Neodiprion lecontei: one gene and its partner. The protein of the gene in region 2 interacts with the protein of the main gene of each other region in a pairwise test. Links are inferred from orthologs where the notes say so. Each region holds a gene or a part of one and is shown on either strand. Other genes may lie near its edges. The genes, in order: ubiquitin-conjugating enzyme E2-17 kDa and calreticulin.

Region 1 (16,472 bases), about 4.9 Mb from region 2:
GACTGAAGTTATAGTATCATTAAAATATCGCAAAATTATATCGAGAGAAAAGTCGCTGGTATTTTTGAAATTTTAGAATAAGTATTCAAAAAATATGATCATATTTTGATTTGTTATAGTTTACTGAATATCGGACAATCTTAAAATTGCGAAAAATAAGATTTTTTCTGAAGACGGATAGTTAAAGTACCATTACTCAATTCCACCCCATGTTTCAAAGTTACATTAAAAGATGGATAAAAATTGGATAAAAAAAAAAAAATGGTAACGACTTGTAACTTCGTTACCGGCAGAACCGAGACGAAAAAAAAAAAAAAACAAAACCGCAACGCATCATGACTAAGAACGGAAAAATTTACTGAAACAATTGTCGAAAAATTGAAAAAAAGACTAGGCCGTCGGATACGGACAGAGGCGCGATCTGTAATCAATGCGGGCGACTTGAGACCTCGACTCGACGAGTAAGTAAGTGTTCTTTAAGATTTCAAGTTCCCGACGTCGGTAATTTGAAGATCGACGACTCTCGCACTCTAATCTCTTTCCAGTATAGGATTGCATAAATAGACACAGCATCTACACAGCATTGTGTAGAAAAAAAAAAACCTCGAGTATGTCCAAAGTTAGTACATCTCAGAGATTGAAAATGACTAAAGTGAACGCCCTTCGTCGTGTGTAATTTATGTTCAGCTGCAGATCTAAATTCGTTACGGTTACGAGAATTTCGGTACAGACCGCATCGTTAATGAACGGGATTAAAAAAATATATCGTATGCAACGGTTCTCGGTTTACATAAGGCGTGTCATATCATTTTACGTAATAACGCATAAGAGGCACCAAGCGTTGAGGTAAAAACTTGTCCATTATAGGATGTTCATTTCAACCGGTACAGTTATTCGACCATAGCTCTCGCATATTTTTAGATCCACACAGCGCAATAACTTTTCTCAAATTCTGCTACAGACATCGTATGCTAGTTTTATCCCTCCTAGAGCGTAATTCATACAGTACAGTTTTGTATGTGTGCAAGTTCGACCAGCGATTAATTCAACAATGCATTTTAATATCTCGATCGTATCCATGCGCAAATAACCGCCTCATCCTTTCATTGTATTTGTGGTTCGTCTCCTCCTCCCCACCTTGAAGTCTTCCTCGAGACGCCGGCTGGCGTTAAAGGTGAAGTAAAAAATGACAGCAGTCTTCGGCTTCGCCTCCCTCCCCCCCCCCCCCCTTCATCCTCCCAACATCCGACGGTTTCACGACGTCTGGCCCGGAGCAGACGGTACGAGCAGCACCTGTCGGTCGTTGAATCCTGCACGCAGCGACGGGATTTGTGAATAAAAAAGTGACGATAATTGTTCGCTGAAAGAATGAGCAAACGCAAGACGGCGGCGATGAGGCCAGATTTTTTTTTATACAGTTATAAGATAAACCGTTACACTGTCTTCGTCGCTTCTTCTTTATGTCTGTATCTATCGGTTCCTAGGTAAAGTATACGAGAGAACCTGGCGAATATATCCGGATTTATCCGGTTCGGACTGCTTTTGTATGCAGTATTGTAAATCTGATTGATTATATTTCTTTGTGGTGGTATTTGGTGATAGCGTCCGGTGAAGGATTTTTCATGGAGATTAAAATTATGTATGCATACAAATACGCACACGCATACATACAAACATACATGTATTTTCTTCGCCATAAGGAACACAAGGCGTAAAGTATTCGATGACGAATGCTAATCGTAAATCGTGCCAAGTTCGCTACTCATGGGCAAGAATGTAGCAGGAGAGGTCGACAGGCTCGTTGTCGGAAGTTATTAGAAACACGAGATCGGTTACAAACAAAGAGCTGTCACAACGTTGACTCATCGGTTCGACACGATGATTAACGACGACAGTTGTGTCGCGGTCCGGGACAAATAGGAGGAGGTTTAGGTAAAGATTCGAATGGATTCGCGGAGGAATAGATGCGGATGCGAATCTGTGACAATGATAAAATTTATACCCCCCCATGGGGTCCTCAAACCTGTAGGGTTTCGAGTATTGAACCGAGAGACACACGTTGCTGTATGGGGCAAATTTCGGAATTTCATGAATAGCGTGACAGTTGTACTCACTTGCTGGAGTTGCGGGTGCCGTCTTTCAGACCTTGGAAGGTTCCGGTGGACGTCATTGCTGTTTATCGTGAGATTAGGAAAGAGCGAAGATCCTGCTTTACACACGACTGGGCGAACCACGGCTTTTACTCGGCGAACGAAATCAAATACCACTCGGCAATGCTATTGGTCCGTTAAGGAAATAGCACCAACGCGATGTTACTACTCGCGTCAAGTAAGCGACACAATAATAACGCGGCAACGACCGGAATATTCGCTACGTCAAACGGAAGTTGGTCGCTTCACGAAATTCCTGCAAACTAACGCTTGCGGATGCTAGTCGTAATTTCAACCGCACGTTACGAGGGACGGAGTAGTTTCGACAACTTCCGCTAGGGGCTCTGCTTCTGAGTTCTATCGCCACTTCGAATTGAGACTTCGAAATACTTGAATCGGCATTTGCCTTTTTAAAGGTAGCCAACAGCAAGACGAAGAAGTTCATACGTGAAGTTGACCGAAGGCTGTTAAAGACGGTTACCCTAATGGGGGTGTGTCTTATGGGATTGCATGTTAAACCATAACAGTGTGTCAAGCGGTTCCCGTCGATAAAGAAAATACCAATAGGGTCTCTTACTGTCTCAAAGCCATTTACCTGCCGAGTACTGATCCGACTTCCAATTCTTCTCCGTCAACTCTGTGGCCTCTGTGGTTATGAATATTTTGCGAATTCATTGTTATATCCCGACAATATTTCGAGTCCAAGAAACGCTTAGGCTCAATCTCAAAAGTTTTTTTCTGTACCACTGAAAAATCGCACTCCAAAACTTGATCTAATAACTGGAAAATAATCGTTTCAAATACACCTACACATCGCGCAGCGTAGTATTTACAATCAAATTTTTGAACAAAAGTTTTAGCATTTTTTCACAGTAATGCGTTCCGAACTAGGTCGATACTAATTCTGAGAAACAACGAGAACCTTTCTTACGTAAATTGAACGTAATTTGAGTAAGAATATCGATGCTGCTGCAGATTGCTTTTGAACAGACGTCTTCGTATTTTAACTATTACAATTCAACATGGCGGATCGAACATTTATAATTTGACCATGGAGTATGTGCATTATGAAAACAGCGAGTATCGCTTCTACAAAATTCGTAATTCTACGAGTGTAAAATGAATTACAAAACTTACAACAATTAAATCCAAGTATAACACATATTGGTGGTGAAGTACACGTGAAACTGTAGCGTATTTCGATGGTTTTTTATTTGCTTGAATTCGGGTGAAAATGTTAAACCAGGCAGTCATCGAGGCTTTGTACTCCGCAACTTACATCGAAAATTACTTGGACTGCGTTGAAAATCTTCCAAATGATCTTCAAAGACACGTCTCTCGATTACGGGAGCTGGACGCTACCTGTCAAAGTAATTAATTCATCGTCACTTTACAATAAAACAACCCTTAATGAAATAAAAAACTGCTACTTTCCGCTGTTTCAGCTATATTTCACTTTTTTCTGTTTCATATTTAAGGTTATACTGTAACTCTCTTTTGTTCTAAACCGCTGCGTAAACGTCGCCAGTATCTCCACAAAAAAAAAAGCAAGCAAATATATGTTCCCAAATACGTTGATTTTAATTTCATTAATATCGAAATTGGAGGTCAGGCTAATTGACAGATTTTGTATTCATCCAATTGAGTTCAGACATTCGCCAGAGTGGATGTGTAACCACAACTGACCAAAAATTTTGAATATATTTTAGGCTATTTGAGAGACGTTGATCAACAGCAAGATATACTGCGAAGCGACGTTGATATGTCAACCTGGAGGCGAGCGTTGCTAAAAGTTCAACAAGCCCTAATAGCGGCGCAAGAAATTGGGGATGAAAAATTGCAGATAGTACAACAGGTTCAAGATCACATTGAGAATAAGTCACGTCAATTGGATTTGGACTACCGCAATTTAGGTATATTGCGATATATCCTATTAATCTACCAAAAATTAGCACCCTTTACCTTGTGTCTAAAACATAATTTCTGGTTTATCACAGACTTTGGCAAGGAACAAGAAGCTGCAGAACCAGCACGAGATTCTAATGCAAACGTCAACGCGGCAACAACTGGAACCGCCAACACTTCTGAGAGGCAAACAAAGCGGACTAGAAGGCCTAGAAATGATACTTTGGTTGAATCTGCGCATGCTATGGACATAGTTGTCGCAACAGAGACTCGTTCAGCTACCTTGGCTGCCGCGAATACAGGATCGCAGAAAAAGGCAGCTGCTGCTACTACGGGAAAGAAGAAGAAGAGGAGGCGCCAGGTTACTCAACAAAGTCAACATCGGGAAGATACTCCGCCACCGCCTGAAGATGCCATAGATCCTGACGAGCCAACATATTGCCTTTGCGATCAGATCTCATACGGAGAAATGATCCTCTGCGACAATGATCTGTGTCCTATAGAGTGGTTCCACTTTTCATGCGTCTCTCTAAGCACGAAACCTAAGGGAAAATGGTTTTGTCCAAAATGTAGGGGAGACCGACCAAACGTTATGAAACCTAAGGCTCAGTTTCTCAAAGAACTTGAAAGGTACAATAAAGAGAAGGAGGAAAAATCATAGCATTAAAAATAGTGATGGGAATAAAATGGTAAACCCATTATTTGATTGATTCGTCATTGTTTGTCCAATGATTCCGTTTTATTTATTACAGAATGATTTAGATATTCTTTGAGACTTACAATGCATGTTTAAAAAATCTATTGCTGGAATTATATTGACCTCAAGTTTTTTTCATCGGAATGTTATCAACCGATGTTCAGTTTCCTTCAGAATAATTGACTATTCAGTTCACACAACATGAAAATCTTTCAAACACCAATTTTACTATTTTCAACCATAATACACAGTTAATGTTTAGTGTTATATTTAAATGTGTTGAAGTTAATTTTATGATTTTAGCATGATACACATCTAAGGTGTTGAGCTCATCATTGGTCTTCTCGTGTTAAAAGTATTATTACCTTATTTCACAGGAATTGAGTCAAACCCCAATTTTGTTGATCAGTTTCCGAGCATTTTTATTTATTCTCTTGCAGATTGGAATTAAGTTGAACTATGTAAATAAATCGTAATGAAAATTTATTCAGCAGAAAAGTATTTCTTTAAACTACAATACGATGTTTAATATTGTGAATGAGCGTATGGTGACCAGCAAGAATAATGTATGATATGGAATATCCAATAAAATGTTCCACTTTCTCGTTATGTTTATCAGCTAAAAATAACTACAGCAGTCACGAAATAAATCTGTCATCATATCGCAAAATTTTCTTTACTTCCAGCTTGAATAAAATATATAGATTTTGTTCATCCTTTATCGTAATTTATAACATGAATGAATTCTGCGTTTAAATGGATGAATTTTCCTTGTTACATATAAGAGACGCGTGGTGCTACATTACATCAATAAAAGGAGCATTAGATTTTTAAATAGATAATTAATGAATTATCTTTCTATTCAACAGTGACTTGATAATATTTACTACACATCACTCGATGCTAAGATGATATAGATATACAAATATGTATATAATTTTTATACAATCGGTATTTGAGAAATATACAAATCAATTTAAGTACGTTCAGAACGTTAAAGGCTAGCCTTGGCCGTGCAGCGATAATTCATTAAATGAAATACCTAATACGAATAATAACTTTCGAAACAAGTGCACAAGCAAATTTACCAATTTAATCATTTGCATAATCGGGTCAATGTCGAGATATAAGCAATAACGTATTATTTAGTTACGTCTAGTCGTTTGTTCCAGAGTATTATTTGACCCTAATTGAGAATTGCATCTGAAATGCATCCCGAGTTGCGTATTAAATTGATAAGTGTTTTTGTAACATTTGTTAATAAAGCCTGAATCAGCAGCTATACCAGTGTTCCATTATTAATCCCTACAATACGTTCAAAATCGAAACATTCTGTTCTTAATACCGTATTGTACTATATTGCGTGGGTCTGTGTAAAAATGCAGAAAGCAATTTGAATAATCATTTTATTTGCTTAAAATACACGGAACAAGGTGTAATGGTTGTAAAAGTATTGCACAAAATTGTAGACATTGAAAAAACATTTATAGCTTTCCAGCTCAATTAAATTCTGGCTGAATGGATACCGGTGAATAAAGAGATTAAATATATTCCCTATCAGTAGACAAAGGTAAAATTTTTTTGACAAGGTTGAACTATCTAAATATAATTCCACAATAACCATTTAATCAAAAAGTATCTTGTCATTTGAGCTGCCCTCATAGACCAATAAGATGTCATTGAAGCAGCTCAGTTTACAGATTACAGTGACAATCACAAAGTAAATTTATCATGAAATTATATACGTGTATACCTGAATGTAAGCCATCTATACTTAATAATGCGTTACCTAATGTCAGCGGGGATCTTCTGTGTGACTTTCTTGAAAGTTGAGCCAAGACTGTTCAACAACTGTGGCCACCCGTTTCTCATATTCCCGTTTATTTTCTTGATACAACTGTGCAGCTAGTGAATTTGCCGGAGAGTTAGGATTTGGTTCGTCCAAGAGAGACTGAAACACAGACAGTCTCAATGTCGTTCAAGAATGTTTGATGAAGAAAAAGAAAATGTGAACAAGTTGAATGGATAAAAATGCCCCGGTAATTTCAGATACACCAGCTATTACAAGCCAATCGCTGAACCACTTATCCCGTGTCCTTGCGATAAATGAAAGAGAGTTGATGCTACTCATAAGACGCGCCATTATCGGGTCGTAATTTATACAAAAATTAGAAAAGAATGTATAACATTCTACCTATTGATGCAATGAAGTTAGTCAGTTAGGTTAATAATATTTCCTGATAAATCTATTTATTACCTTAATAATATAAAAAATATTCATTTACATTTTACGATGGATCTAATATTATGTTATCTAGTTTTACTTGGTTTGCTGTTTACTAAAGGGGAGAAAGAGAGGGAGAGAGAAAACTTTTTAATAGCTGGTACTTTCTAATGTCTATGATTATATGAGAAACGAAAGAACAACAGTTTGAGATTCTGTGGAAAGCATTAACTATTGCTAAATGTGAAATTCGACCTGTACGCCGTGCATTGTTATTGAGTATATCATATTGGGTAAAAGTAATAAAATTGATTATATAATTTGAAATTATGCATTTTATTATACGTATGTATATATAGATGAATTTCGGTAATATATGAAGTACTAAAATTAAATAGAAGTACAACTCTGTGCCTGGTTTAGAGTGAAGAATCGTTTCTAGCACAGATACAACAAAACAATGCAATTCCCTAATATTAAATATTTCTAATTTTGTGTTCCAAATATTGAATAAATAAATACACAATTTAATAATAATTTATTATACAACATTGTAAAAATTCGCTCTAATGTTGCACATTGCATTTGTTGTAAGGAAGTTGTATATTCTTTTTCTTGTTGCAGGGTGTGACGTGCTAAGTCCTAGGTGTTAGCTTGATGGTAAGGCCCTCAGTGGCTGTAAATTCTTCCTCCGTCTTTGAAGACCATCGGCTGATTGATACATCGATAGTGACAACAGTTGCCACTAATCCACAAAACTCTGCTCCACGCAAGCCTTAACTCGTTTCTCATACTCACGTCGGTTTTCTTTGTAAAGTTGTGCTGCCATGGAGTTAGCAGGAGAGTTCGGATTTGGATCACTTAACAGCGACTGCAATAACATAAGTCGTACTTCTTAAATATCTATTTCGATCTCTTCGGACCTCATTATCATTCTGTCGAATAGAAGATCTACACCTATCACGTAATGATTTATAGGATTCCTGATGAACAGGCCAGATAGTACACATCAATTTCTGTGCTACTTCGTTCTTTTCCAACAACACTCTTTAGAGGAAAAATATTCTCAGTATCAAAGACCACACAAGCATAAAAGCAAAGGTGAAAGTCAATTCATAACAAATTCCTTGTCCTTTCTTCCTTACTTTGCAAGGTAGCTTTCACATAAAAATTAACCTGAAAAGGGTTGTTGAAATTAATGTGTGCTTTGGAAACTGTTTATCAAAAAATCTATTAATCACTAGTATTATTATTCCAGTACAACAGTAATACGACAGACATTGGGAAGGATTCGTTAATAAACTTCGTGCAAATTTAACTCACATTCTTCAAATTATATGTTAGCTCACTATTCTATGCATAAAGATTTTATACATTTCAACAACACGTTAATCAGACTTTTGAATTGCAACCGCTGTTAAGCACAAAAAAAATTTTCTTAGCGCAAATTCAGCGGTTAAGATTTATAGCGCAAGTTTGGTGAGAAGGTCAATGCGGACGGGTAAAAAAAAAAAAACTACCCAAAGTTTCGTGGTTGTAAATTTATACATTTCTACCTTATTAATAATGCACTACTCCGAACCTTGATATACATATCAAAGTATTGGTTTGGATTTTGTTAATGCTGCATCATAAGGATTTAAAATAATCCTTCAGTCATAGCGAGAAATTATTCTCGAAACACTGAATCTGTTAAGTCGAAATATAAACGAGCAAGTAGAAATAACTTTTGAATAGCTATTGATTTGAGTAGAATCAACTTTCAAAAATTAGGTAATTCCCATTCCAAAACATCCACAGCGTGGTATGTTTGTGTTCATAAAGGGTAATATTAATTAGACATAGGAGATATAAAATACCATGGTTAAAAGGTAGATGCAATAGGAGTTTCAGAATGGAATCACGCTATTTCAAACACAAGCAAGGCAGGGCTGAGCATTCATGTATTATCAGACATACCTGTATTGATGTCAGAATGGCAGATACGTCGTATGTTGGGCTCCAGCGATTTTGTAATATATCAAGACAGATTCCTCCATCGGCGTATACATTTGGGTGGAACATCTTACTGACAAATCTCACAGTCGGTGGTTTATTTGGATACTCCTCAGTAAACTCTATGGTTAGTTTAAACGTCCCATCTTCAAATGGAGTGTCATGTGGTCTGCAATTTGAGATAGTGATGAAAATACTTCAAAGATTCATTATATTTTTCTGTAATCAAATAGCTAAATGTTGAACTAACTATACTGACTCTATTAACAACTGTAATTTGGCTGGCATTTGACCTTGAAGCAACAATATACGTAGTGATTCATCCAAACTGATGAATAACTATACAGATGCTGGTCAGGTAATGCCATTCACAAGCTCAATAATAACAATCATATTATTATTTCTAAAATGGTATTATTTGATTGGTTGTTCGCTATCTTAAAAGATGAATTTGTAACGATCAATCATAGAAAATAAGAGTTAATAAATATTTGCTAAAATTGAATCAGCTGGAAATAATAAGTTATAAATATTTATGACTCATCGTAATCACAAAGAGGATAATTTTCTTACTGATCGATCTGTACATTATTATCATTTTCTTTCGTATTATTCTGCCTTACGAACACTTACCCAAAAATAACTGCATTCCAAATCATGATATTATTATCTGTTGGTGCGCCAGATACTCCAGTTGGTGGGTCTTCTTGTAACCTGCAAATAAAGCATAAGATTTGTCAAGCTTTTCGATAATTAACAAATAATCAAATCCTTATTCCATCTTTTACCGGTATTCTAACAGTTTTCACTTCAGACATTTGGTTCAATACCGAAGTAATTCTATTTGAATAAAAAACTAAATGTTTAATCATTATTCAATCGAAACAGTTTTTCTTGAAAGTAGCAAAATAAAGTTTAATACTCTCTACATAAAATTAGTTTACGCGTTAATGAAACATGACTGCCCAATGTGTACCATATTCAGTCATGGTCAAGTCGAGTCTGCATACAAATGTCGTCGGTTCAGCAACGAATCACGTTGATTAGCAATTTGAGGATAAACCAATGCTTGATGAACATTGAACAACGAACCACCTGAGGCTTTACAGTTTAGTTGTGCACCTGACGAGTTACTTAATTGAAAAATAACTTAGTCTAAGGGCAGGCGGTAGTTGACTCATCGCGACTAGCTGATAGCTGTTACTCATCGTGTTCCTTATACTACTTTGAGCAAGTCACAAGCATATTTAGGCGTGCAAAATTGCACGTTGCCAAATTAATGAGTAGATATATTTAATTTTCATTGAATTGCGAAAGAGAACAAAGAAGAGATCAGCCATAGGTTTCAACATCGACTATGGATAAGTGGAGGACATTGTGACAATGTGATTTGTCTGACCTAGAACGTCTAACATGTATGACATAAAGCATGGCGATAAAATTGCAATTTGAACATAAACCTGATGTAAAAGTGAACGATTTTCATCAGGAATAGGCGAATGGTTGGAGTAAACAAATAGTATAAAAAGGACGAGAGAGTTGTTTTAAGTGCACGAAAATACAACGTGTATCCTCTGCACCGTTCTCACGGCCTTCTAATAATAATTTCAGAGCACAAGTCACGGTGACGTTCACAGCGGGTAAAACGTCGGTTGTGTTGGTGAATTGGTGAGCATGTGACCATCGTAACGAAACGCTTTTTAACGGGTTAAAACTCTATCGAAGGGGATGACGGGGAGAAGTAAGGTTGAACCGATTATCACGATGCGACCGAGGGAGTTATTGGATTACGTACCTTTTGAAGTCCCTCATGAGTCTCCTTCTGGCAGGGGTGGACATCCCTTACGAATGGGCTGGTCACTTCTCCTCACGAGTAATGTGCTACGACGGGTTCGAGCCACCCAGCGAATCTTTAGCGCTCCTTGGCACACTACGCACGCGGCAGGTTTCTCCGAGAGGAATAATTCGAGAAACAAGGAAAAAGATACGCGCACAAACACCACAGCCGTAGAAGAGCACAATGGGTTTAAGAAAAAAAAGGAGGGAAATAAGATTTCAAAAAAAAAAAAAAAAACCACGCAACGCGCTACGGTCCTTGACGTGCCGTTATTAACGCGGAAACGAGGACGAGGAGCATCCGTTGTCTTCCTTCTGCTGCGTATATCTCGTTCCCCCTGGACTAAAAGCTGCTATCTCTCGATGTAATACCGTTATATTATGTTACAAGAATTGTATCACATTTACTTCTCGAAACTTCTTTTAACTCAACACTGCTTACCCTACCGATAATTGTCTAATTTTACCCGACGCACCAGACCAACACTTGCCTACATGAAAAAGCCCATGTCACAGACAAATTGAGGAAATTCACTTCCTACACTACCAGAACGGAGAACAGTGTGACACACGGAACAGCGGCTGCTGCTGAGCTATTCGGATCTGACGACTGACGTCAGGAATTTAAATCAACCGTGGCGATTAATCGCTTTTACGAACCCAGACTTTCATCCCACACTCCGCGGCGATAAAAACCAGTCCAGAGACGCGTCGCGTCGCCGCGAAATTCGTTCGTCCTGCCACCTCTAGGTGAATTTAAGTTCAAGCTCCTGGTACCACTAAACCACGCAACATATCATACGTGGCGTATGCGCGGTTGCCTTTAGTAAGGCAAATTGTACTCTGTCTTGCTTTTCTTATCGTTAGTTTCCATTACGTTATTTGAAGAAATTTTTTTTCCCACGAGTTTGATACCAGACGAATAAACAGTCGGATTGGCTTTATGGAATATCATTGACCCTGGAAAGAACTTGTTGGAGTGTAGAATCAGAAATTTGTAACTGGTACCACTGCATTACTGAACATTGTTGAACATATAATTTTGAAAAACTGGTAAATTCGAAAAATTAACGACGGAGCCAGGAATCGAACCTGGTATCTAGCGATGCTTTACCGGAGCCTTACTCCACTAGACCACCTAGCCGCCCTGACTCTGATGTCGTTAATTCCTCTCATCACCAGTAAGTTCAAATTTGTTTTCTTGTGCTGTAGTATGTGTGAATATATAAAGTGTTCTTCCTCTTCGAGCACAACTGTAAGAATGTCTGTAAGTGTGTTTACATTTTGGAAACTTACGCTTCTAATGCGAAGCCCGTAAGACAGTCAATGACCGTCTAATAATTGAAATGCGGATATGCATTATCAATATTAATATTAATCACGAGGCATTTTTCATTGTTGAACATATAATTTTGAAAAACTGGTAAATTCGAAAAATTAACGACGGAGCCAGAAATCGAACTTGGTATCTAGCGATGCTTTACCGGAGCCTTACTCCACTAGACCACCTAGCCGCCCTGACTCTGATGTCGTTAATTCCTCTCATCACCAGTAAGTTCAAATTTGTTTTCTTGTGCTGTAGTATGTGTGAATATATAAAGTGTTCTTCCTCTTCGAGCACAACTGTAAGAATGTCTGTAAGTGTGTTTACATTTTGGAAACTTACGCTTCTAATGCGAAGCCCGTAAGACAGTCAATGACCGTCTAATAATTGAAATGCTCGTTGTGCTCGAAGAGGAAGAACACTTTATATATTCACACATACTACAGCACGAGAAAACAAATTTGAACTTACTGGTGATGAGAGGAATTAACGACATCAGAGTCAGGGCGACTAGGTGGTCTAGTGGAGTAAGGCTCCGGTAAAGCATCGCTAGATACCAGGTTCGATTCCTGGCTCCGTCGTTAATTTTTCGAATTTACCAGTTTTTCAAAATTATATGTTCAACAACGAAAAATGCCTCGTGATTAATATTAATATTGATAATGCATATCCGCATTTCAATTATTAGACGGTCATTGACTGTCTTACGGGCTTCGCATTAGAAGCGTAAGTTTCCAAAATGTAAACACACTTACAGACATTCTTACAGTTGTGCTCGAAGAGGAAGAACACTTTATATATTACTGAACATTCATATTTTTTTGATTCTTTTTCCTAAATATAAATAATACACAACGTTGGTTGAAAAATATTTGCTTCGAATACAATAGAAAATTTGGTATATTTGCTCAGCCTGAATCGTTATAAATATGTATGCGTATTTATATTTACCAGGTTGAGCAAGTGGTACTCTTATCAGCATCCATAATGATAAGGATATTTTTGAAATACACCGTTTCCCAAGTTTTCGATAACTCAGTATCCATGCATGCAATTAAATCACAATCATAACCAAACTGATATGATGAGTCGACAGATTTTCACATGAAGAAATGTTATTTGGTCGGATGCTCGTCATTTTAATTACTTCGAGGAATACGATTTCAAATTTCGAATATTGTTCTGAAAAATTGTTGTGATGATCGATAATAGGTTTAACAATATATATTCAACATTATAATTTTTACAATAAATTAATGTAGTGTACATAAGTATACGCCAAAACGATCCGGCGTGTCTTATCAGTTAAAGTGTTGGTAGTAACCGGCATGATAAGTGTATGGTTACACAACAATGCTTACAATTCGTTCATTATTCATCGAGTTCAACGTGTGTCGTAGTTCTCGCGTCGAGTTGGTCGCACGAAATTCATACACCTCTCCACTGCTTTTCTTTGTACCTTCAACTTTATCATTCTTTCACTCAACTCCGTTTAAGCAATTGGAATTGTCTACATTTGGTCATGAGAGTCACGTGGGCTAAAAAAATCTTCAATCAATTTTCAGCACAATGTCTTGTGAGTTTCTTTTTTCATTTCTATCTTATATCAATGACGCTTGTGATCTATTGCCTGTCAGTAAGCGAACGATCACTAAATGTTCGTAACGATAAGCTAATCTGTGCATGACGTGGATATTATATTTTTAATAGTGGCAACTTGTAACATATCATAATGTCCTACCAAAGTAAACATCTCTTGCGTCAATGATAGCTGTCGTGTCGTTGCGATTGCCATACGCATATTAGAGACCTGATATTCTTGAAAGATTGGCGGAAAAGAGGATAATATGTCATAGAATCAAAGACTATTGATTAGAAATTTCAAGAATTCGAAATTCATCAGTTTGTTTCCTATTTCTGAGATTAATATTCTCATGTATGTTCATTTTATAAACGAGTACGTAATACTTACTTTTTCTTTTGATTTTTTTTACAGATTCACAAAGGTAACTTCACCACTTCAGCAACATTTGGACCCAGTAATCCCAAGTTTCCAATTATTTCTAACAATTTCACGGATGAGCTCAAATTTACCAATGCGACTTCATATGGCTCTATTCCAATATATCGAATATTGGGCTCTGCCACTGAGGATGAAGCAATGGCGAATATCGAGGTTTGTTAAAATTCGAATCACCAGTACGAACCCATGTATTTACGATTCAATGTTTGTTGATATTCATATTTTGAATTTTGAATTTGCCAAAAGCTGGAAGAGGCGAAATATATAAAAATGTACAAGGACATGGTAACAATTACTGTAATGGATAAAATACTTTATGAATCTCAACGGCAAGGCCGAATATCGTTCTACATGACTAATTCTGGCGAAGAGACTGTTCAAATTGGAACTGCAGCAGCTTTAAGTCTAAACGATGTTGTTTACGCACAATATCGGGAGGCTGGTGAGTTTAGATTATTTCTTCGTATCGTATCGCGTCCCTCTCACGACTTCAGCAAACTCAAGAAGTTAAATATCGTTGGTCCTAATCGTCAGAGCTGAAATTTACAATCAGGAAATTTGACAGAAATGCTAAGATAGACTTATAAATAATTACTAACATTTTTTATATTCCAGGTGTACTGCTCTGGCGGGGTTTTAAATTAAAACAATTCATGAACCAGTGCTACGGAAACTGTGAGGATATTGGAAAAGGAAAACAGATGCCAGTTCACTACGGATCTAAAGAATTGAACTTCGTTACTATATCATCGCCACTAACGACTCAATTACCGCAGGGTAAAGTAAACGCCATTTCTGTATTATTTTCAATATAAAGTAATTTAGATACGAAATCCATCCACATTTTGTAACTAATTACATGTTTTTTTATATTCCGTCAGCCGTTGGAGCAGCGTACGCATTGAAACTGGCACATTCGGACCGTTGCGTTGCCGTTTATTTCGGAGAAGGTGCAGCTAGTGAAGGAGACGCGCACGCCGCTTTCAATTTCGCAGCTACTCTCGATTGTCCCGTTATATTTATATGGTAAGTGGATGCAGAATTTGGAAAACTACTAGTTTGAACACTTCATCGCCAACAATACATCTACTAAACATGCGAATGGAATTTAAGGATTTAATTTTTTAGTCGGAACAATGGATATGCAATTTCCACTCCAGCTCGTGAGCAGTACAAGGGAGATGGTATCGCGGCCAAAGGACCTGCGTACGGTATTAACACAATTAGAGTCGATGGAAACGATATATTTGCAGTACACAACGCTACGCGTGCAGCGAAAGAGTGGACTTTGGCAAACGGAAAGCCTGTGCTAATCGAAGCAATGTCATATCGGTATAAAACAATCATTACTTCGTAATATTGTTCACTGATGTTTGTTGTTTGTAATTGGTAGTTGTTATAATCACTTAATTGTGACGTTTAGTACGATTGTACGCTCTGATAAAATTACGGTAGCTAATGAGTAATCATTTTTCATGCGTTTAGAATTGGTCATCACAGTACCTCTGATGACAGTTCTGCGTATCGATCAGTGAGCGAGATTGCCGAATGGGAAAAACTGCAACCGATCGCAAGATTTCGCCAGTGCCTAGAAAAATATGGATTGTGGTCTGAGGAGCAGGAAAAAGAATTCGTATCGTCGATCAAAAAGCAGATACTATCGGATTTTGCAGCGGCCGAAAAGAACGTAAAACCCAACTGGAAGGAGGTGTTCACTGACGTGTACTACAACATGCCAGATCATATTAAGTACGTTTACTTTGTACGATCAATGCGAGATAACTGAACGTGTGAAACAATCGGGAGCTAATGGAGTAAACGTTTGATTTATTTTAGGAAACAATCGGAAGCGATGGCAAAGCACGTCGACCAGTACAAAGAACATTATCCAGTAGAACTTTACAAGCAACAGTGAATCAGGTTTAAAATAATTCCAATCCCGAAAACAAATATCGATCTTTACTTACGTACCTTCATTTTTGGGAATCTGAAAACTTTTTCTGTACCTTTGAAAATATATATATAATTTAATCAACAATTCTTCGAGTTTTATTTTGTAAATATCCCGCACGCGTTAAAACTTTAACCGACCGCAGAGAACAAATATGTATAAAGAATACGTATGAATATATTAAGTTTCAAAAAGTATATCGGTAAAAATTGCTGTTTTTATTCGCTAAATCAAAAGTAAATGCAACACTCGGCATGCTTCTCCGATGACGCGCCCGAAACTTGTGTCGCTGCATGAAAATTTAGCCTAACGTTCGTGAAGTTAGGTTCAAGAATTTAGGAATACATAAACATGCCAAGACCCTGGG
Region 2 (15,901 bases):
TCTATATTATAGCCGATTATTGTAGATAATCTAATTTGTCTCCTGGAAAATTATAGAATTTATAGTATGCATCACGTATTAAATTATTTATGATCTATCTACACATTCTTCTCTCGGGTACCTATACTTTAATTAAATCACTGTTTTGCTACGAATTTTGGACGAAATTTATTCTCATTATTAATTTCTTGTATCGCCGACAAGTCGGTAAGTACACACAGGCTAAGTACTGGCTTGGGCTTACCGTTGCGAAGACTGTGTTACTCGGAAGTGAATGCAGCCAGTATCATGTCGAAATCACTTATATCAGTGGTCGAAATCGGTAACTCTCTGATGTTCTGCAACAAGTTCCAACTCTACCACACGAACATCTCAGGGGGCGCATGCGCCCAATTTTATATTCTTCAGTTAACGTACAAGCTCGCGAATGCGAAATTCATGTTCAAGTCAATGATGCGTATTGACAAAGAATGTTAAAATTTACACCTATGTCGATCCTACACTTGCAACGTCAAAGCGGTTCGTTTTACAGTTGAAAAACAAGGGTCGAATAAGGATGACAGAAGACATGGACCAACTAAACAAATATTTCAACAGATCCGCATCAGTATCTTCAAAACCGAACGTAAAGAAACATTTTTATTATACCCAAACCGTCTTCTTGACTTCTAAAATAACAATTATGTCCTGCCAATAAATATCCGACATACAACTTTTCTAAATTATTATTCGTCAAATTTTATTCTATGCTGGAGAGTTTTGTTCAATACTGTTCATTACATCCCCATATTAGGTTATCTCTATTTGCGCTACCACTGAGCAGCGGAACAGGAATATCAACTTATAAATTCAACAGGTTCTAGAATGCCGGGTTTGCGAAGAAGTTTTCACTGCGGAAGGTGGGAAAGTACCACGTCTACTTCACTGCGGTCACACTGTGTGTCACTCTTGTTTACTGCGTCTTCGTCCCTGTGTGTCGGATCAAAAGTTCCTTTTATGTCCCTTCGACCGGCAGCCCACAGCCATCAAGAAGAATGGAGTGTATAGTCTAAAGAAGAACTTTGTGCTCATCGAACTCTTGGAAAGGCTAGAAGAGTCAAATATTGAGAAAAACATGAAACTCGAACGGGAAAGGCTACAGTCTACTCAGCCGTGCGACGAAGATGAGAAACATGTTGCTGTTCTGTACTGCACAGTATGCATGACTCACCTTTGCGACGCCTGCGATGTTCTCACTCACTCGTCAAAAACTCTCGCCAGACACAGGCGCATTCCTTTGTCTGAAAAACCAAAGGAAAAACCAAAGTGTCCCACTCATAGCACGCATATCGCTGAATTCACATGCACACAGGATGGATGCAACAGTGCTCTTATGTGCTACCTTTGCAGGGACTATGGGAGGCACAGTACTCACAAGGTGAAGCTTATAGTTTTTCAAACAAAAGAGTTTCATTTGTTGCACCCGTCAATCTAAATGAATATTGGAAAGTGGAATTAAACATATTTTCCTGTTTCCAAAAAGTTTAACACGTTTAGCTGCTAACTCTGGCTGCTAGCTTCAACTTTATTGTTAAGAAAAGTCTAATAAAAGGTTCATATGTTTCCCGGATTTAATGTTTGGCTGTAAACTTCAAGAACACTGTTCAGGACTTTGATTATTCGATTTATTCATTAGATTTGTTTATTGAATTGCAGCATACATTGGTAGAGACAGAAGCTGAGAATATCCGAGTTTCAATCATCACAGCAATGCAAAAAATGACTCTATTTACGGAAAACATGAGGGATACAGCTCATAGGATAGGTAATGAAGATAATTTTGGCTCTGTTTGATGCAGCAGTTAACATTTAATTATCAGTATTACAATTACTGATTGCAGACAATTTGTTAACATTTTATCGAATACTTCTAGAAATTGTAATACAGGAACTAGAAGGCTGGGCAATAGAAGATGCTCGGCAACGAGTACGTCAGCACTTTGAAAAGCTGAGGTCACTGCTAGCAAAACAGGAAAAAGCAGCTGCAATGTGCGTTGATGCTGAAACAAGGGAAAGACTTTGCACGCTTAGAGAATTACACGAAAATCTGAATATGACTAGGACCCAAGTTGCCGAAGTTTGCATTCAGTGGGAGAGTCTGTTGGGTTCTGAAGATTGGAAACTGCTCAGCAGCGCCAGAGATGTCAGCCAAGTTCTGACGTCATTGGAACAGCAGCAGAAACATTACGCTCAGCTTGGCCCAGACCTGCTCACGCCCGAATCCTCTATTCCCATAATATTTAGCAGGGTTCGTAAAGCTTAATTCTCTCATGATCGGTAATGGGAAATTTAGAGAAAGAGTCGCGTTATTTTTACAAATTTCGTTCATTTAGGACAACAGAGTTTATATTGGAACAAAGATAGAAATGCGAGTCGTGATACTTGGCCTAGATGGGGCTGGAAAAACTAGCATTTTATTTGCCATGAGGGACATGGCTTTGTGCAGTCCGCCGATTCCTACCATTGGATTCAACGTAGAGAGTCTGGAGTATAAAAACCTGGTGTTTGCATTGTGGGATGTTGGTGGACAACATAAATTGAGGCCACTGTGGAAGCATTACTACCATAATACTCAGGCTGTCGTTTTTGTTGTCGATGCTAGCGATAGGTTACGATTCAAAGAGGCGCATAAAGAACTGACAAAAATTGTTAGCGAACCCGAACTGAAAGATGCCTTGTTACTTATATACGCCAACAAGCAGGTACAACATGACTTTATGACTTTACATGTTGAATGAAATGAATAATCAGTCCAATTTAGGAAATTGATGATAGGTGAAATTGATTATTGTTGAAATAAAAAGAAAATAATCTGTTTTTAATTCAGGATGTACCAGGTTGTGCGACAGTCGAAGAGCTGACGGAAATCCTTTCGTTACAAAAATTTTGCTGTGGTAGAGCCTGGCATATAGAGGGATCTTCGCCTCTGACTGACTCCACTGGTCTCATTCAGGGATTAGACTGGCTGACACAGCAATTGGGTGCAAACGAGGCCCTGTACACTAACAGTACCTAAACATAAAAAATACTAGGTGAATCTAGTTTTCTGATTTACAGTAGGCACGGTTTGTATCGCCACACGTTATATTCATTAATTCAATACCGAAAGCTGTCAAAATTTTTTCGGTACTCCGCGCCACTTGAACGGAAGCATGGCCAGAATCGACTCTGTGTTTGAAGTATTAAATTATCATAACAGAGAATAGTGTCAAATGTGACGGTAATGAAAAGAAATGCAATAGCCTTATCATTTTAGCTAAAATAGACATCTTAAAGGACATTCATACCGGAGCTATAGTAAAAGAAGTGGGGGAAAAAAATATGAAGTGATAGAGTGAACTTGAGATTGGACACATGAATCACCCTAAATCAGAGGCAGAAAAATAAACGCATCAGGATATCTCTTTTAGATAACTTACAAGAGGCATTGTATATTTGGTTTTATAGAACATACAAATCCGGTCTTCCATTGAACGGACCTCTGATAAAAAGTAATATGAAACACTCATATTCTGCACTTATGAATTAATTTTATTTTATACCGCAAAACTGTCGTGCATAATTTTTTCTAATAAGGCTAATTATAAATTATAAAAATTGTCAAAAACTTCATGTAAGCCGAATACGTAGTCGAACGTGATCGTGGGTTGTGGTTCGGTAAAAGCAGTAAAAGCGTCACGCTTCAATAGAAGTAACCATGGGTTATTCTTTTTAAATTATTATTTTAAAGATATTTTTTCTTGAGTCAAAACAATTCGAAAAAATGGTTTTTTAAAATACAGCGAATTCGGCGATGTGCTATGTGCAGTGGATAGACACTGTAAAATTGTACGAAATTAGATGGCAAAACACAAGTTCATGAAAATGTATATTTTCAGTTGAAGCATTAGAACTTCATCAACACATGGGAATTAAAAAAGATTTTAATCGTAATTATTTGTAGCGAAAATTAATCAGCTCACGTTTCTCCTAGCATTGCAGGTAGAAAAAATCTGGAGAACAATTCCGGAAGAAGATTACGGATTGAAGCAATTGTTTAATGCAGATGAAACTGCGGTTGAAACGACTTTTTCTTGAGAAATGATGAAAGTCAGGACAATGTTAAATTGGCTCAACTTTGTAGTTTTAAATCTGAAGATGCAATCATGCTGCAAATATTGTGATAGAATATTTCAATTATAATAATGGCTTATCACCTTCAGTCTTTGATGTGTAGAAAAATGCCGAAGAGATGTCTATGAAATTAGTACAAAATTAAAAATGCTCGATATTTTCCAAAGTTGTACATAAAGTAATTATTTTTGCGAAAGTACAAGAAAAAGAGCATTGGAGTGCATCTTTGTGTCCTAGTACTGAAAAGTGCTTTTTCTTGGTACTCCATTATACGAAAAAAATTTGTAATCAACAATTTTGTTACATAAAGTATCATGTGCACCTTGAGATAGTTTTTTTCGCCTCATATATTTGCCATATCGTCTTCGGCTTGCGCATGCACTCGCCTACGACTCATTACCAACTTACGCTTGGTGTAAGTCTCCTTGGTGCACAATCTATTTAATTTTCTTAGCTCCGGTAAAGCAATGTGCAGCTTCCATTTCAGGACTACTACGTATGTATGTACATTAGTGTATATTTATATATGTCACCAAATAAATTACGATAATTAACGCTTTTAAAAACCAATCGTCTATTCTCTGGTGACGTCGTGCAAATATTGGGTAAATAAATTTTCCTCAATCTCTAACAAGTAAAAGTTTACAAACGTATTTAGTCTTCTTTTCGTTCCATGTTTATCATTTTCCCATGCAAACGGTAGAGAAACAATGATGGGAAATTGGAAATTGGCGAGTGTCAATAAACAAAGTAAAGTCTAGAAAAGTCTTATTTATTTATTATATGGTTATTGGTGGTTTGATACAATTATTAGCTATTGTTATCACTCACTCACGATTTGCACACACCCATCACTTTTTGCTTTTTTTTTCAATTCATAACCACTATTAGAAGTCGCAGCGCATTATTGCAACGCGTACCCACTGTACTTGTAAGGAGAATGAAATAATAATAATAATTCTTGTATCATCCAAAGTAAATTTCAAAATTACTTTAATACAATATAATATATAAAAACACTTGACAAACAAAAACGGAACAACTTAGTCTTTTGGAGCTGATGATGATGATGTGGACACGGGGGCAAGAATAAAAATTGTCGCGATTTAAATAATTTTTTTTTCCGACGATTTTTGGAGATTCTTCAATCACTTGAAGTAATTATTACGACAATTAGAGAAACTTGTTATCCTTTCAATAATAGCAACCAGTTTTCTCGGTTTCGCAACCGACTGTTACGAAATTGCGCAGATGAGTAACGTTTTTAAAATTTTATCAACGTTATCTTGCCCGCACGTATGATTTACACACTATTTAGTGTTTGAAAGCATCTAGTGTATAACATTTTGTAATATTTCATTCCAACTGTCTCTTTCTTTTTTCACACTCTTGCAATAGTTGATAGCGTCGCACAATTAGGCAGCAGCTCCTGGAATACAGTCTGTGTTTGTGCCACCTGACACACTATTTACAATTCGTCGTGTTCCTGCAAAAAAGAAGCAATTCCATTTTGTTATATCCGACATGTAGCACGTTGTTCAGCACGCGATGAGAACTTAAGCTTTATATGGTAGTAAAAAGAAATTAATCAACAGATAAAGCTTCAGCAACGAGGAATTCCGGCTTTTATCGCTCATAATAATCGGAAATCGTCTTTTCATCATTTTGAGATTAGAGATTTGCTAATAATTTTTCTTGAGGAAGTGAAGGTTTTGTGAATACTTACTGCTTCTTCTGGATCAGGGATGGTGTTATCCTCATCTTCGTCTTCTTCATCGTCTTCCTCTTTGTCTTCACTTTCCTTGAGTTCCTTTTCTCTCTCTTTCTTCTCTTCTTCATCCTGAGCTTCCTTCATCTTCTTTTCTCCTTCCTGAATTAATAAAGTTCTAAATTAAGATTTGCACTCTCAAAGTACTGCCAAAAGTCAACTGCTTGATAGAGTATTTGTCAGTAACGAGGAATTCCAGCTTTTTATCGCTCATTATAATCAGACCTGCTTTTATCATCATTTTGCGTTAATTTAAATTACAGTTCAACAACGTTGCACCACTTTTAATAATGTGACAAAAAAATTTCACTCACGAAAGTAGGTTTCCAAACTTCTTCCCCGATTTTGTGCGCTAATTCAGGATCGTCGGTGATCAGAACGTTGTCAAAGATCGTACCGGCCTTGACTTGCCAGAGATCAAAACCAATGGCACAGATCTCATCACGTTTGTAGAGCTCAGGGTCTGGTTGATATTCAGGGTTATCAATCTCGGGATGAATCCAGGGTCCCTTGTAGTTAGGGTTGTCAATTTGCTTGGGTTTCCATTCTCCCTACGATAATTGAAAAATGAAAGTATCATTACTTTTACGATGGTTTTTGGCGAATGATATTTCATAATTTGTGCACCCTCACTATTGAAGCTTCTTACCTTGTAGTCAGGATTATCAATCATGGGTGCTTCCCATTCACCATCCATCTCGTCGTCCCAGTCGTCTGGTTTCGTGGCTTCGGGGTCAGGAATGTGTTCTGGCTTGTCCCAGTCCTCGGGTTTTGTGTCATCGGGATCAGGGATGGTGGGCTTATCATCCCAATCATCAGGCTTGCTGGTGTTCGGATCCTTGATTTTTTTCGCAGGCAAGAACTCCCAGTCAGCTTCCAAGTCGCCGGATTCAACCTTTTCGTTGTCAATAAGGACCTGAAGCAAAGAAAATTATTAAAGATGTTAGTAAAAATGTAAAATTCGTCCACTTTTAACAAAAATGACAGCACATTAATGTCCAAGTGACGTATGATTTGGCAAAACAATCAGAATCATCATCTCAGCATTTTTACGACTTGATCTCTCGTATTATAGTGATCTGTGTCTTCACTTGGTACCTGAGATAGGCATAGTAACTTATTCCAGGGCATAAGTAAGACGCGTTATGCTCTTCGAGTTCCTATAGCACTCATCCTCCACAAGGGTGAGACTTGACGAGTGACTCTAGGCTCGATTTAAAATTTTGTTTTTAAATCCATGGTCAGTGAATGACTTCTGGGAGTATACTTCTGCTCGTTGATATTTGACAAAATGTAGCAATCTAATCGCTTTTCAAGACCAGTGTAAAAAAAGTCTGGCATTTTTTACCTCGTAAGTATTGTCTGGCTTGACAATCAATGTGTAAAGATGAGTGTAGACATCATCTTTGCAGCGAACGTCTTTGCTGATGAGTAGGTTCTTTCCTTTGTAGTTGAATATAACGTGAACCTTCTTGGTGCCAGGTCCGCAGATATCGGGTCCTGTTCACAGAAAGAAATTTATGCATTTTGCTAAACAAACAACAAATATGTTCCATTTCTTTATTTATTGATCTAATGCCAAAACTATTTGGAAATTCCGTTTCAATTATCATGTAAACAGACGCAGATAGTCAACCTAACAATGTTGGATCAATTCCAAAAGGAGTGCACTGGTATTGGGGGAGTTAAATTTATACTTCATATAAAAATAAAAAGTAAACAAGTCGGCTGTTCCTTTATTATGTGGAAAGTGAAGAAATTGCAAATTTAGCAAATTGGTTTTAATCGTACTAACCGAACATGAGAAGATATGGCGTTTCTCCATGCATATCCTTCTGGTCTAACGAGCAGTCGAACACTTTGGCATATCCTCCTCCACAGTCGATGTTCTGTTCATGCTTAACGGAGAACTGAACAACCAGTGGTTTATCCTTGTTACTGAACGGGGTGAATTTCCTACTGAGTGCATAAAATCTTGCATCCTGGGACGTCTGGATACCTGAAGAAATAATTATATATAATATAAAGTTTATCAAAGTATTAAAATAAAGTTTACATTTTCATTCTTTTGCTTTCTTATAAATATTACACTTGAAAATATAATTCTCAATACATAGAAGACATTGTTTATGCAATAATAAAGTTTTGAATGAAGTGAAAGTAAACAAACTGAATTTATCTTTATGTTATCAAAATGTTTTCTTATTACAGTTATTTGTTCTGCCTTCTTTAATGACATTTCTGAAAGATGATAATGGCTGTAGAATTTTATCTTTTGCAGAACATGAAATACATTAATTTAATAAAAAAGAAAGTTTCTTTCATTTTAATTCAACGTGAGTCATTTATACTTCAATTTTTACAATGATTACGATTAAGATTAAACATAATTATATGCATTGATATTAATCTAAAACTAAGTAGACAATTAAAAAATATTTGAAGATTTCAAAGTTCAAGAATTTTAATTAACTTTTGTGTGGCAGAAATCAATTACTTGATATAAAAAATTTAAATATCAATTCAAACAGATCAATTAGTTTTATGTTACATTGGCAAAGCAAATTATAGATAAATACGAAAACAGTTATAGATACGAACCTTTGTCATTCTCGGGATCATTCCAGAACTTTCCATGGCTAAGTACAAACTTTCCAAATTCCTTACCGGGATGTTCAGAATATACCCATTCCTTTTCCCATGCGTCTGCCATGAAAAGACAGGAATATTAGGTTAGCTATAATTTTCACCGCCATTAATAGACGAACGAAAACTTTAATTAAAGTCAAGAGTAAACGCGAAATCGAATGAAATATCCAAGTTGTAGAACTAAACACGTAAATATTTGAGGATAACGTTAACAGAAATCACGTTCGCACTTCGCTTTCAACGATTAATTTTTTCCTCAACGACGATACTTGGCGGGTCTCTTTTACAGAGTCTAGAAGTTCAATTAGCAGAAGGAAGCATTGAGCGTGCTACATGATAGCATAGTCTCATACCTACGGCGATACTGTCACAGATGGCAGCGCTCGATAATCCGAGTAGGGAGAGTGGCCACCTCTACGTTCGTTCGTCCCTGCCGTGCCGGTTGGCATTTTCGTTTGTATTTTATTTACAAATAATAATAATAACAATACCACTAATGCCAGCACGTATGCCGGTGCCGAAAATTTTGTCTTATCCGATAATCTCTAACGTATAAGTGCCAATGAAACTCCGATGTCGAACGATATCGATCCTCTTGACCGTGATTAATTGATTATATTTGAGATACAAGCTTTCGCCGGGAAGTAGCTACGTTGCACCGAATGATCATGATAACATTAATAATAATAATGATGATGCTATAGTAGCAAATTTATTTAAGTAGGTATTCGTTGCGGGGAAATTTGTAACCGCATTTATCAAGCTGCCGAGTGAACGGAATTTGCCTACTCGGCTTCCGACGCACATGAAGAGATGGTAATATTTAAAGGGTGTGGTTTATAAATTGACATCGAAAGCCCGGGAGAGTGAACGTCGAGAAATACGTCGTCACAGAGTGGCAGCAGGAGCAGCAGTTGACGCATTGTCAAGAGATCGAGGGTGACGAAAAGTAAAAGGGAGAAGAAATGTAAAAGGACTGATACGAAAGATGGTATTATCAGGGGGTTGAAAATGGTCTTGTACTCACTGTCGAGGAACTTTTCTTCGAAGTAGACCTCAGCACATACAGCCGATATCGCCAACAAGGCGAAGAACGCGTAAAAAGACCGCATCTCGGGCGCCGGGATCGCGAAATAACCCGCGTCAAATCGTCCTATTCGCACAAGGAACAAGCCAATAATGCCAGACGTGGTGGCGAACAGAGACACCGAGCAGCCGTCGGGCCAGACAGATGGAAAACGCTCATTCGTTCCCTATTTTCGACCAATCACCTCCGACCACGCTCGCCGACCTATGAGGCGCCGCTACGTAGATGACGAATCAACTATCCAAAGGTAAACAGATAGAAAACACCACGTCGCGTCGATAATGCAGAGTTATCAACCGGCGCGGCGCATCCGGCTACTCACGTCGGAATTTTATTCAAACGAGAATGATTTTAATCAACGGCAGGTGGAAAGATTCTGAAAATTTGTCAGGTTGCACGGTACAAGAGAATTTATCAACAAAATAACTGAGATGCAGGAAAACATTTTCACTTTCTTACTGATGATATGCAAGCACGCTGTTCTGCAAACAATTGAACATCGTACCTTTCGTTTCTGCAAACTTTTTGTAGGCATACCTATAAGTATACATGAATGTAATATGGTGTAAAAATGAAAGTATAGGCGAAACATTACATAAAAAGTGGTTATTCATTGAAATAAATATAAACTTTTGGATTCTCGAAGAGATTTTCAGAATCATATATTTCAGAAAAATATGTTTATTGAAGAATAATCAATTTTTTTTTTTAAATATGTGAACATAATTTTTCCCAGGTTTTATAGGTAAACGTTTTTAATCGTTGCACGAAGTTTCTGAAAATAGAATAGCGATAATACGTTTAATGCATAGCTCACGCGACTAGTATATTTTAGAATTTTCATCCATGCACACGACGTAATAAACTCTTGCCACGTTATCCGCTTACGTATGCCTACGTACTTTACCTCGAGCTCGGTATAGTATATTACCTATAGCTCGGCAAATGATAGTGATATAATCGCTGCAATTATGTGCAAATTTTCGAAATATCTCAATAGGATATATATTATACCTACCCAGTTACGAGCTATTGTAGGACGGTGATAATATGTGATGTGATTGGCGAGGTCGCGTAAAGAATTTTTAAGAAAAAATAAGGAAATTGTTTTTGTAAGAAAGTACGTATATGTATATGTATATATATAATGTTTCTCGAAAATTAAGGTAACAACTTCTCGCGCGTAGACGCGTGTCTCAATATATTCAATGCATTAAGATCAAAACACGATTCTACCGTCTGCAGTTCAAAGTTTTATATCGAACGATACATGCAACACGCGTTATTGCCTGAGTCGATTATCCGAAATAGGAGGACCTTGCAGTATCTCGATGAGTTTCGAGAAAGGGAAATGTTTTCGGGAGAACCTACCCGTCACATTTGGACTTTGGAATTTTCGAGAATACGTACATGAATCGTAAAATTCGATTATTATAAGTATAACTGCACATTGCAGTGCAACCTATTAAGTTAGGCAATTAAACTTCCAGGTGGTGTTGAAAATATTATACTATCTTCCACGAAGCTGGAAACTTCTAGGATTAACAATCGCTTAGCTAGATAAAATCATTTGTGTCAAATTAACTCAAACCGCTATAAGTGGCACGTGACCCTGCCAAACCGCCGCCGGGGGGGGGGGGTCGCTCGTCATATTTTCTTAATTCCGTAACTATGGCAACGAATTTGTATACATCATGGCGACGGTAGTGCCGCGTCGATTCCAGAGGCAGAAGGTGTATTAGAACGAGGATCGTTTGACAGTTAAAAATTAGGCAAAATTGAAAAGTTCATTGCAGTGTATAAAAAGCGTAATATAAATATAAGTAAAATGATGCGATCGAAGGCCACGGCAGCCTTGATGAAACTCAAGGAAATCGACAGAAAGTACAAAATGAAGTGCAGCGAGGATCGCGTGAAACGGCAATCCAGCTTGAGCGATATAAGCGCAGTCGACAGCGCGGACGAATTATCGAAACCCGCGGGTGAATCTGGTTCCGGCGATGCGATTGTGAGGCCTAAATTAGACGTGAGAATGCCCGAAGCTTACTTGGAGCGAAGCGAAGGACGTCGAGGGCAGGAAGCCTCGGAACCTACGGCCGAGTTGGTGACGATTTTCGACTGTAAGTCGGGGAAAAAGAGCCCGCGCCAAGAATCGGCGAATTATCAAAGAGACGGTCCGGCGGCCGGTGGAGCCGAAAACCAGGAGGCAAGAAAACGATCCGAAACTCCGTCCCTGCAGGTCGAATCCGAGCGAGAAGCCGCGGGCAAGTTGACGACGGAAACGGAAACCTCGGTTAGCGAAGAAGTCCCGGAAGTCGTTCGGTCGATCGCGCCATTTTCACGTCCGGTCTCTGACCACCCAGACGTCCCTTCTCTCGGCGAAGAAATAACTATGAAAAGCGTCGAGTCGATAATTGATGGGGAAGAAAGGCGAGCCAGCACCTTGGACGCCGATTCACCGACCTTGATGGCATCCGCCGGCTATTCTGACGACTTTGTTAGAAGTACGCCCTCTGCTGAGACTCTCAGTATCGTGGAGGAGGATCTGCAGGCGCAAGAACCGGAAGACTCATATTCGCCTTCGGGCTCTTATCGGCCGCAACGGTCATCGCCTACATCGATGCAGTTGGAAACTAAAAAGCTCACCCAACTCGTAGCGCCGAAGGTGATTCGCGTCCTGAGCAAATGCGACGCCGGTTTGGATCCTGGCCTCAGCAATTATGTAAAAGCATCGACGAACGGAAACACCGCAAGCCCCGTTTGTCTTCTCAGGTCTTCGCAGCCTTCGACTGATCGCAGCGATGAGATTCGCCGGATGAACCGGGTAAAAATTATTTCCGCGATGTTGATAATTTGTAACGAATATCGTGTTTTCTTTCTTTTTTTTTTCCTTGTAGATTTTTCGCAGAAAACGATCAAGTATTACGTTTGATCTTACATTCATCTACAATTATCTAAAACAGAATGGAAAAATTTTCGGATACTTTGTAAAACTCCATGAAATTTCGTAGAAGAGTGTAACGATCTTCTACGAAAAATTATGACGGTCCACAATTTTTTAAGACAAAAGTATAGTAAATCGACTAAACATAAAATTCAGTGAATTCTTAAAGAATTTTAAGAATCTATACGACAATCTATCATTGAATAGAAAACAGCTTTAGTTTCACGTAGATAATTGTAGAAAACTGTGAGTTTTTACAATTCGTGTAGAAGAAATTTAAGAACTGGAAATGGAGACGGGAATTGTTTTTTTTTTTTTTCATTTAAGAATTTCGCAGACACATATCAATTCTTATAGAAATGATTCTCTCTATAAGATTATGAATACGTACCTACAAGGAATGTAAAGACTCAAGAAAGAACAACGCAGTGCATATAGTTACAGTAAGAATTTTGAGATATTCTTCGATAAATTACGGCCATCTGAAAGATTGCTGTACAAGGCAAGATCGTAAAAAAGCAAAATGTTCAACGAAAAACTTTTTAGAGGATAACAGAAATTTTTTTCACCAGGTGAAACGAAGGCCTGCAGTTTCTTCCAGGGATTCCTCCGGACTTTCGTCGAAAGAAGATCCTGAAACCGGGAGCAGAAAAGACGTAGAAATTATTACTAAACAGGATGAAACGTTGGCGGAAAATCGTCGTATAGTTTTCCTCATGGAAGGTAAAAATCCGCAGTCTACCAACCCCACCGAGATGCTTCAGAGACACGAAAGGGTTCTGGAAAAAGCGGAGTCTAAGAGCGTGAGAAACCGGGCGAGGATCGAAACTCCAGTTTCACTGGTCGGAGAACTCGATCTGCAGACTCGCTCCAAGGATTGGGAAAAAGAGAAGAGCGCTGCTTCTGCGGCCGTACAGCAACCTGAACGGGTTCCATCGTCCGAAGAAGCTTCCGCAGGCGGTGTTCGGCTTGCGACCGGCGTTGAAAAGCACCGGTCGAAAAAAGTCAAAACGGAGGAGCGCCATCGGGCGGGCAAAAGTCGAACCAGAGAGAACCGGAAGCTCCGCCATCGCCGGTCCGCAGGCGTAGAAGAAGAAACAGATGCGAAACGGGTAGCTGGGGACGTGGAGAGGCTCAGAAGACGGTTAAAGGAGCTTCTTCTCGAACAGGAACGAGATCAGCTTAGACCTCGCGTACGCAGATACCTGCAGCAAATTATTGACGAGGATGACGGATTCGGGGACTGCGACGCAGCCTCGTCGTCTTCTGGAGTGCGACGAAACCGGAGTCTACGCTCCTTCTTCAAGCCGCTCGACCTCCCGAACGTCGCTGCCTTTAAACGACCCGGTAAACTGGTGCCTCCACTGGAGTATATAGTTTACCGTTAGCCTCGCCGTGGTCCGAACCTGCTACTGCCTGCAGCCTCGCCGCCTCTGATCGCATGTTGCTCCAGGGCCTCGGCTTCGGCCTGGCGACGTTTGTTGTATTTTTAACGAGAAAAAAAAGTCGGAGAGAAAAAGATTTAACAAAAAAAAAAAAAAAAATACGACCAACCGACAACAAAATATTGAATCGAACAAAAACGAATCCTCGGAAAACTTTTCGTCGGCGTGAAATTTCGAGTTATTTTTAATTGTTGTGTATACGTCAGGTATAATTTGCTCATGCTGATATTAAACCTGAACCCGCATCGTCGTGTGATAATTATTATTCGAGTACTAATTCGTTACGTATAAATATATATATATGTACAGGGAATTAACTGATTTAGATCGTATTATCGGGTTCTGTTCTTTCTGAAAAAAAAATTCTGATCCACGTTTTGTTGAACTCTCACTAAACATTTATCACTTTTCTTTTTTTCCTCTTGCTCTGAAAACGCCTGCGAGCTATAAGCACGATCATATATACTTACGTCGATAGGATGAACTACGAGCTGTACGAGAAACGGATTCTGGCAATCCAGTACTAAAATTAACCACGCACCGACCGTTCATTCGCTAATCACTCAGTTTACGTATTCCTATTTATTTTTCTTACGAACTTATATATACATGCGCGTATAGTAATATAGGTATGTGTCCATATACTCTGCCGCGAAGAAAGTTTATTCAGTCGATTTGGACATGCAATTTGTGCATCGTATAGGTATGTGTATGCAACGCGTAAGAGAATAAAATACACGAAGATGTGTACAGATATAGAGTTCTGAGAACATAGGGAAAAAAAAACTGTTTTCATCGTGTGCTCCGTGCAATATTTGTAATCTCTGTTTCACGAAACATTTTTATATAAAATACGTGCAGAAGTTATTCAAATCAAATAATCCTCAAACATTAAAATATTATGGTTATTAATTCATGCTCTTGGGAATAGGTTCCCACTTTCCTCGTTCTTATGAGGTCAACGATCCGATCCCTCTTTTTGTCTAATTGTCAAGGATTGAACAAGTTCCCAAAAACGGTTGCTTTCCTAGATATGCAGTTATAATTATTGACTTCGCTCGGATTGTGCGGTAACAGATTATATATACGTAACGAGTCAAAAATCCGGTTCCCGGCTATTTTTATTCACTGTTTTACGACTTCTAAACTGAACTTTAGTTTCCTTCATTCGCTAACAAATCACGATTTCTTTCTGTCGGAAAGAGGGCGTGGTTCGGTGATAAAATAAATAAATAAACAAGTAAATGAAAACTAAGTAACGAAGAGAAGATAAAAATACAAATATTCAATCAAACATTTGATTCGTATTTTCGATCCAGATTTCGAAGACGACAAGACCGCCAACCTGGACTGCGAGAGCCGTTTACATTTGCGAATGATTCACGAACGTGTCCTTGGAATACGACATTGGCTGAAACAGCAGTTCGTCCTTTACAGAGACTACAGCAATTTAGCATCGACTATTAACGCAACGTACATCCCAGTCACTTTGAAAGAAACGAAAAAGGTGGGGAGACATCCACGTACAGTAATAATCATTAATGCGTTAATCTTACGGCTAACTTGTTTTCGGTCCGAAACAAAATGCGAGTTCGATTCTATACGAATTTTGTGACAATGACCGGCGATGCAGCCGATGTGAGAGATTGGGTGTCATTGTCACGGAATTAGTATAGAAACGAACTCGCATCTTGTTTCGGACCGCAAACAAGTTAGCCGAAAGGTGACGGCGTTAATGAACATTACTGTACGTATATCTCGATATCGCGGCATCGAATCTAACCATACTGTACTGCTCTTTTTTTCTTCAAATTGATAATCGGCACACGTGAATAATAAATTCTGTTTTCTACTTT

Evidence for each region.
Region 1: the proteins of calreticulin (region 2) and ubiquitin-conjugating enzyme E2-17 kDa interact in a two-hybrid assay, tested with the Caenorhabditis elegans proteins (2 studies listed by BioGRID). The link is inferred for Neodiprion lecontei from reciprocal best matches to the Caenorhabditis elegans genes crt-1 and ubc-1.

Annotation. Positions count from the first base shown.
Region 1 is NC_060263.1:34,341,774-34,358,245, forward strand, and holds ubiquitin-conjugating enzyme E2-17 kDa, read right to left. Parts: upstream 11,431-16,472; 5' UTR 10,811-11,430; coding exon 10,767-10,810; intron 9,686-10,766; coding exon 9,605-9,685; intron 9,141-9,604; coding exon 8,936-9,140; intron 7,848-8,935; coding exon of another isoform or gene 7,722-7,847; exon of another isoform or gene 7,294-7,721; intron 6,704-7,293; coding exon 6,548-6,703; 3' UTR 6,142-6,547; downstream 1-6,141. Other genes in the region: inhibitor of growth protein 1, read left to right, coding at 3,385-3,520, 3,860-4,063, 4,148-4,716; 2-oxoisovalerate dehydrogenase subunit alpha, mitochondrial, read left to right, coding at 13,471-13,707, 14,128-14,307, 14,401-14,596, 14,770-14,931, 15,036-15,180, 15,283-15,486, 15,640-15,903, 15,991-16,069. UniProt on the Caenorhabditis elegans protein: Catalyzes the covalent attachment of ubiquitin to other proteins.
Region 2 is NC_060263.1:39,260,080-39,275,980, forward strand, and holds calreticulin, read right to left. Parts: upstream 9,764-15,901; 5' UTR 9,682-9,763; coding exon 9,597-9,681; intron 8,627-9,596; coding exon 8,522-8,626; intron 7,920-8,521; coding exon 7,716-7,919; intron 7,421-7,715; coding exon 7,269-7,420; intron 6,837-7,268; coding exon 6,570-6,836; intron 6,472-6,569; coding exon 6,235-6,471; intron 6,023-6,234; coding exon 5,879-6,022; intron 5,639-5,878; coding exon 5,621-5,638; 3' UTR 4,909-5,620; downstream 1-4,908. Other genes in the region: E3 ubiquitin-protein ligase TRIM23, read left to right, coding at 557-625, 857-1,417, 1,696-1,804, 1,914-2,287, 2,373-2,741, 2,867-3,055; uncharacterized protein LOC124294163, read left to right, coding at 11,485-12,480, 13,173-13,947, 15,365-15,552. UniProt on the Caenorhabditis elegans protein: Molecular calcium-binding chaperone promoting folding, oligomeric assembly and quality control in the endoplasmic reticulum (ER) via the calreticulin/calnexin cycle.